2 linked regions of the Oryzias latipes genome follow. The protein of the gene in region 1 binds, or shares a complex with, the protein of each later gene. Links are inferred from orthologs where the notes say so. Each region holds a gene or a part of one and is shown on either strand. Other genes may lie near its edges.

Region 1 (4,083 bases):
GTAATATTATAAAAAATATAGTTAGTTGAAGTGTTTTTTTTAGTTGGAAAATATTAAAAACTTTGAGTAAATAATCTCTCTTTTATAAGTTGAGGAATCTTAATATTTTTAATATGAAATAATACAAATTTAAGCCAACTGACAATATAAATTTTAATTAATGTTAACTTAAAAGTTTTAATAATATAACTTAAAAACTATTGCGTAATCTGTTACACAATAATTTTTAAGTTCAGTCAACTCATTAGGGTTTACAGCGATGCATTGGACTGGAATAATGGACTATAATAATCTCCCATTAGTGGGAACAATCACCTAAACACTGACCACTTCTTGGTTTCAATAGTACAATTCCCATCAGCCCTTGTCCTCAAACCAGAATGTTCCCAAGCTGCTTCCGTTTATTACTCACCTGTCTCTCATCTGCAATCACACAACCTCTATATCACTTGTCAAACTTAAGGCCCGCGAGCCAAATACAATACTTGGTGTGTATTCATATCTAAGGGGAATTGGAGTAGAAATATCGGATTGGGCAACTGTACATTAGGACTTAAACACTGTCAATATAACCTAACCTGACAGAATAAAATTTAAAAGGATTTATGCTAGAGTAACAAGCAAACATGTTTTCTGTGCAACTGTGTCACTTTAACAAGTTATAATAAATAAATGAGTTATTTAACATTAAGGAATAATTACGTTTATTTTTCATTATATTTAGTTACCTTTGAGGAGAACCACTATGCTGATGTGGCCCTCGGTGAAAATGAGTTGGACACCCCTGCTATATATACAGAAAACTAGCTCACATTACAAAAAGTTGTGGCACATATTTACCTTTATACTTGTAACTTCTGTTAATTTCAATTCTTAACAACCCAAAATCAATTTAACAAATTATACAGCATCACGTATTTGAGCCCTGCCCTGTCATGGATTTGATTTTGTTCTAGTACAAAGAAAATGCGAATATACTTCAATGTCTTTAGTAGTAGTATATTAGTAGTTGTTGTTGTCATTCATTGTAGTAGCAGTAGTAGTAGCAGCAATGGGACAACGTTTTTACATTATTTACACAAATATATCAATTTGTTTACAAAAAAAACGTTTTCAAAAATCATATTTCAACCAGTTAACGGGCCAACACTGACACCCAGAGACGTCCGTAGGAAAATTAAAGGAAAATTTACAACTTCATATCCCTAAGACCATTGCGTTTCTCCCATAATGCCTTGCTTTTTTTTCTTGTTCTCGTTTCTGTCTCTCGCGAGTTTATCTCTTTTTTCCACCGCCGTTGATCGACTGCTCAACATGGCTTCTGACGGACCGCCGGGCACGGACCCGAATGATTTAGGTAGTGTAATCGCAGCATTAAACACATGGAGCGTCCCAGAGCTTCAGGGGAAGCTGGTGGAGCTAGGAGCTCCAACAATGGGTAAGAAAAGCTCCCATATAGTGCAAAAATCAAAGCGCGTTGTTTTGAAGCTAGCTTACGGCTAGCATTAGCTTGGAGCACATAGTCGTTGAACCTCCGTCATAAAGCGCTCCAACAACAGGCCCGCAGAATGGTTTGACTCCGTTTAGTATTTTCATATGCATATTTTAAAAGCCGTTTTTGTCTAATATTTTACAGTTGGAATACCAAACGTAACAATTGATTGCTTTTGATGATTTCTTACAAAAACTAGCTAAGTTTTTGCTGATGATGATGATCGACAGTTCCATTGTTGTGAACTGCTTAGGATTTGCTAATAATGTGATCAATAATTGGTATTTTACGTCATATGGTACTCTGATTACGTTAATAAATAACTCCAAACCGATGAATTATTATTAAAATAAAATACAATGGTCGTGCTTCTCTTAATTTAGGCTCTAGAGAGGAACTCATTGACAGACTGAAGGGCTACATGATGCAGGTAAGCTCATCCTCGAAATCAACATCACACCCACACAAATGCAACTTCCCATTCTTAATTCATTTTTTTTCTTGTTGATTTTAAAAACTATTATTCAAATGGATAATAATAAAATGTTTTTGAGGGTTTTATACCAATAGTTTGGGTAATCTCTCTTGTAGCCCTTCACATTGAGCCATTAAAACGGTGTGGAACGTTTTTTAAATTTTACGATGTCTATCTGGATTTATGTATGTTTAATTTTGTAAAATGTTTTAGTATGCTGTATAGGGATAATAGTTCAATTGCAAAAATCTCAAGTTAATATGGCAACAAACAACTAAGGGAAATCATTTCATTAGTAGCCTAACAAAGAATAATTGGTTGGCTAATGAAGGCTATTGAGTGGACTTAGTTTTGACTGTTTTTAACTTATCTGCATTGTTCAACTTCTGAATTTATAAATCAGACTGTAGACATGTGATGTTTAGCTAATTTTTAATGTGTCAGGTGGAAAAGCAAAAATAAATGGCCCAAAATAAAAATAAAAAAGATTAATTTCATATCAGTCAGCCTCCTATCTATTGCTCTTTTCACAATATTTTCATTTCTTTTTTTCAGGTGCCGAGCATTCCTCCCATGCCCCCGATGCCCATGCCACCTATGCCCCCAGGGATGGGAATGATCCCAGCAATGAACATGATACCCCCTGGAGCTCCTCCCTCTGGCATGCACATGACAATGGATCATCCAAACATGCCACCTCCTGGTCTCACACAGGACGATCAGCTTAAAATGGTTCAGCAGAGAGCTGCCATTGTGTTACAACAGGAAGAAAGGGCCAAGCATCAGGTGGGATGGCAGAACTGGCCAACTGCTGCATTTGACACATTAATCGCTAATATTGTAGTACTCGGCAAAACAAAATTACTGGACTGTATTTAAACATTGTAAGTTTTACAAAGTAAATTAGGTAAAAACAACGATCATAGATACAATTTTTCAATGTATTTGGGTAAAGCCAACATTTTTTACTAGAGACCTTTAACAGAAAACACCTAAACAGTCACATTTGCTAAACATTGGCCTTTTTTTGTTTGGCTAAAACAGGGGGACGAAAATGAACTTCTGGAGCAGCAGCAACGGGTAAGGAATTGCAAACAACACATTTTGTTCAGCTGTCAATTAAAATAAGGAAGACATTTATTTTCTTTGTTTCTTATTGTGATTTTATATTGCTTGCATCTCTCATTCATTTCTTCCTTAGGCTGCCGTGCTGCTGGAACAAGAACGACATCATGAAATGGCAAAGATGCAGCCAGCTGTCTCTGCAGTAAGAGGTTTGTGGAATATCCTAAAACCTTTTACAAGTGATTCCATTCAAGATCAATGTCACAAAATGTTTGTCAAGGGAAGACGTCTCTGCTTCCTACAGTGTTGCAAGCTGACGTTAAACCAGCATTTAATAGTATATTTTTACATTATCAATCACAAATTTGTTTTTTTCACAAAACCAAAGTTTCAGTTTTGGATCCTCACGGGCCTTTACCTCCTGGTGTCACCTTGTTGCCATCTCATAAACAAAAGGTGCCACCCCCTCCAGGAGAAGATAACAGAGACGTACGTTTTTCCTGCACTTCTCTAATTTTTGTTTTAGACATAGGTTAACACTAATTCTGGTGTGATTTAAGCAAAGTTAGATTCTTTTGAAGTTTTTTTAAACTCTTTGAACTTTTTTGATTAAAATGCGACAACCTGCTGGTTTAGTGTTAAACTGCAATTCCTTTCTTCCTGCAGATCTGGCAGAATGAAGAGATTAGTGTTGGCGGGCCCAAGATCCCACAGGCTCTGGAGAAGATCCTTCAGCTGAAGGAGATCAGGCAGGAGCAGCTTGTCGATCCAGCAGGTTAGACTTACAAAATAAAATATCTCCAGATTCTTTACATTCACTGTTACTGTCGTAAGGTATGGCCCCTAAAACATTTTTATTTTAGGGTATAGCATGGATATGTGTTTTTTGGTTATTTAATTTAAAGTCTGATTTTTTTTTTTTTTTTGCTTTATTTTTTTCAACAGAACCTGATCTGCCTTAAGTGTGATTTTTTTTATTACTGATTATAAAACCAAAACAAAAAAGCATAGTTAAAACTTTAATCAAGATGGTTGAAGCTTGTCAGCAACT
Region 2 (3,652 bases), on another chromosome or scaffold:
GAACCTGTCAAAGACCGGCTTCCATCACAACAAAGAACAAACAGGCAAACAACAAACAAACTAACAACCACCAAACAACAAGCTAACAGGCAAACTACAAACAACCAAACAACAAGCTAACAGGCAAACAACAAGCTAACAGGCAAACAACAAGCTAACAGGAAAACAACAAACAAGCAACAAGCTAACAACAAACAATAAGCTAACAGGCAAACAACTAGCTAACAGGAAAACAACAAACAAACAAGCTAACAACAACCAAACAAGCTAAAAACAAACAAACAAACAAGCTAACAGGCAAACAACAAACAAACAAACAACAAGCTCACAACAACCAACAAGCTAACAGGCAAACAACAAGCTAACAGAAAAACAACAACCAAACAACAAGCTAAAAACAAACAAACAAACAAGCTAACAGGCAAACAACAAACAAACAAACAACAAGCTAACAGGCAAACAACAAGCTAACAGGAAAACAACAAACAACCAAACAACAAGCTAACAACAAACAACAAGCTAACAGGCAAACAACAAACAAACAAACAACAAGCTAACAGGCAAACAACAAGCTAACAGGAAAACAACAAACAAACAAACAAACAACAAGCTAAAAACAAACAAACAAGCTAACAGGCAAACAACAAGCTAACAGGAAAACAACAAGCTAACAGGCAACAAACAAACAACAAGCTAAAAACAAAAAACTAACAACAAATGAACAACAAACGAATGAACAACAAACAAACAAACAACAAACGAACAGCAGGTGAACAGCTGGCGAACTACAAACAAAATATGAACACACGAACAACAATCAACCAAAAAGTACCATTGTAAAAGTACCAAGTAAGTAACCAGTAAATTCCATAAAAAGTACACATGTAAACACTGTAAGTACCCAGTAGTTACACAAAAAGTACCATGTAAATACCGCTTAAGTACACTGTAAGGACTGTACTGTAAAGGAAAGCGTTACTGAAAACCTTAGAGCCGGTTTCCAGGGGGGTATTCCAGACAGTAGGTTATGCTAGCTCTCACGGTAAGTTTGAGGCTAAGGAAGTTGATAACCTCAGCTTTCAGTTCCAAAAACAGAGGTATGTTTCAGGGTATGTCAAGTTGCCATAGCAACTCATGCTCTGAACATAACCTGGTCTGGAGCAGGTTTAGTTGAAGGTTAGTTTGTTTTCAGAGAGGTGAAGCAGCATGGCGTGTCCATTTGAAGATGATTTAGTGGATGAAGAAGCTCAGATAATACTTTTTCCACCATGAGAGGGGGATAAGACCACATATGGATGTTGGAAAGAGAAACTTTTTTACTTTGATCTAACTTAGTTATTTGCTTCAGTTAAGATAAATCCTTTGTTTGTTAAGTCAGTTTAAAAATAACACGTAGTTTTCAGACAGTCATTTTACTTTCATTCAAATTAATTCAATTAAGTAGGTTTAACTTTGGTGCTGCTGTTAGACCGGCACCGCAAGGGATTGTGGGATACCATTCCTTTTGCCTATCTGGACGGATTTGGGTTTAAGTGTGGCTTTTTGACCAAATGTGTTTAGTTGTTTAGCTGTTTTGCCGAGTTATTTTGTCCCACTGTGCTTATGTCTCTGCACCATGAGTGAGAGTGAAGGAGAGGATGATGAGTTTATAGAGCACCCCTACCGTTACATATTGTAATGACAAAGACGGACAATTCTTTAATGAATTTGTGCACAATGTGCATTTCTTTCCCGTCCTTTTTATTGTTATAAAAATGAACATATCTGCCGGCTCATACTTAGACATATGAGAGATCAAGAAATATAATTAATTAAGATGGAAAAATATTAATTGAATTGGAGTAATATGACATTTAGTTAGATAAATACATAAATTTGAGTTGTAAAAACAATTATTGAGTTTTATAGACGTAAGAAATTAGGTTGATTAAATTTAACTCAATTATTTGTTACCAATAGAAGTATTTCATTTAAGGTGGCAAAATTGGATAAGTTATATATATATGCGTCACAAGGAAAATGGAAATAAGATCAGAAACTCGTGCGTTTACTTTGTCTGTTCTTTTTCTCCAAGCAGAAACTTTCTTTTGCTGATGATGCAGCCGTGTCACTTTTTTGATGGTCGTATAATCTTCATACGCCGTCATTAATCTCAGACTCCGTCTCACTGAAGTATAGCGTTCTCTTTTTTTCTCCACGCGTTTCCATGGTGACTCCAGAAATCGGCGATCTATTGAGAATGTCTTTATGTACCTGCTGTGCACGTGCATTAACCCAGGGTTACCAAGTGGAGCGTAATTACACCAACTCATATCCGGTCTTTGGGAACCGACATACCCAGAGTAAGCAAGTTCAGGCAGATTTCAGCCAGAGTTCAGGCTTAAAGTCAGGGGAGTTTAAACATGCTTCCTGGAATACCCCCCTGAATAACTGCAATATTGATAATAAAAACATACATTTGTTGACTCCTTGAACATCAGAAAACCTGGTTTTCAGAGAAACGATCAACTATTCATTGAAGAAAAGCTGATGGTTTTAAAATGCCGACAAACTAAAAGGACATTAAAGGCAAGAGAGGCTTTCATGAACTCAACGTTTTGATTTAACATGATGGATGTAAACCTGGAGGCACGCCTCTTCGCTGCAGCGCTGAGGATTTGCGGCCCTCTCGTCCTCGCGTGCACATTTGTTGACACGGCGTTTGAGCAAAGCCGACAGCTCAGTGAGCAGAAAATGAACGTGGAGCCACAGACTTTACACGTTTCTGCTCCAGTTGCTGTGAAAGCTCAGACTTCACCTCATTTGCTGTGTCTGTTCTCTCAGACCACCTTCACCTCCAGACCGCCATGTTCAGGAAACCTCTGTGCCAAACGCAGCCCAGCAGCAAAAAGAAGCTTCAAAATGAGGAGAAAAGCTGCTCCAGTCTGACTGATTAGCTGTCATGTCAGTCAGTCCAACTCTGCTGTAGCTGCACACCTGTCTGTCTGGCTCCCTCTTGTGTTGGAAGCAGATATGGCACTTTTCATGAGCTGCTGGCTAAAAACGAACAGCTGATCTGACAGTGAAACGATCCAGACGGTTCATTTTACTGACAGAGCTCTGCTCCGTGAAGCAGCTTTCATTAGAGGAAAAACCAAACAGGTTGGCATCATTAAAAACCTGCTGTCCTTGTTTTCCAGTCAAACAAAAAGGCAGCAAGGCTCCTACGGTATTTATCATGTGACCAGGAACAGCTGAGCCATTGGCTTCATTTGTCTGAGTTGAAATGATGGATTTGAAAAACAAAAAAACAGCTGAGATCTCTGCTGCATGTGGGAGGGGCTGAGTCACTGCTGCATTAGGCAATTGTTCAGCAGTAAAAACAGAATCTGCTTCATAATTATTCAACAACTCTGAGGAGAAGAACAAGAAGCTCTGACGCTACGCCAAAACAAAGTGTGTCAGAACAACGTCAGGAGGAGTTTATTCCTATCAGGGTTCTACTCACAGCATTTAGTTTGTCCGTTTTCTTGGCCTCCGGCTCCTTCATGGTGGAGGCCAGCAGCTGATCTCCTTTGTATTCCTTGTAGAGCTCGGCTAAGGTCTCCCTGGTTTCCAGATTGGTGCTGTTCAGATGGTACGCTGGGTCCTGCTTGGCCTTCTCCTCGTCTTA

The links.
Region 2: sf3b2 (region 1) and ppil2 share a complex: the UniProt entries of both Homo sapiens proteins name them as parts of the minor spliceosome. The link is inferred for Oryzias latipes from reciprocal best matches to the Homo sapiens genes SF3B2 and PPIL2.

The regions. Positions count from the first base shown.
Region 1 is NC_019876.2:19,504,040-19,508,122, reverse strand, and holds the start of sf3b2 (splicing factor 3B subunit 2), read left to right. Parts: upstream 1-1,234; 5' UTR 1,235-1,314; coding exon 1,315-1,438; intron 1,439-1,875; coding exon 1,876-1,922; intron 1,923-2,522; coding exon 2,523-2,753; intron 2,754-3,011; coding exon 3,012-3,047; intron 3,048-3,168; coding exon 3,169-3,241; intron 3,242-3,420; coding exon 3,421-3,521; intron 3,522-3,698; coding exon 3,699-3,807; intron 3,808-4,083. UniProt on the Homo sapiens protein: Component of the 17S U2 SnRNP complex of the spliceosome, a large ribonucleoprotein complex that removes introns from transcribed pre-mRNAs.
Region 2 is NC_019867.2:618,791-622,442, reverse strand, and holds part of ppil2 (peptidyl-prolyl cis-trans isomerase-like 2), read right to left. Parts: intron 3,649-3,652; coding exon 3,488-3,648; intron 1-3,487. UniProt on the Homo sapiens protein: Has a ubiquitin-protein ligase activity acting as an E3 ubiquitin protein ligase or as an ubiquitin-ubiquitin ligase promoting elongation of ubiquitin chains on substrates.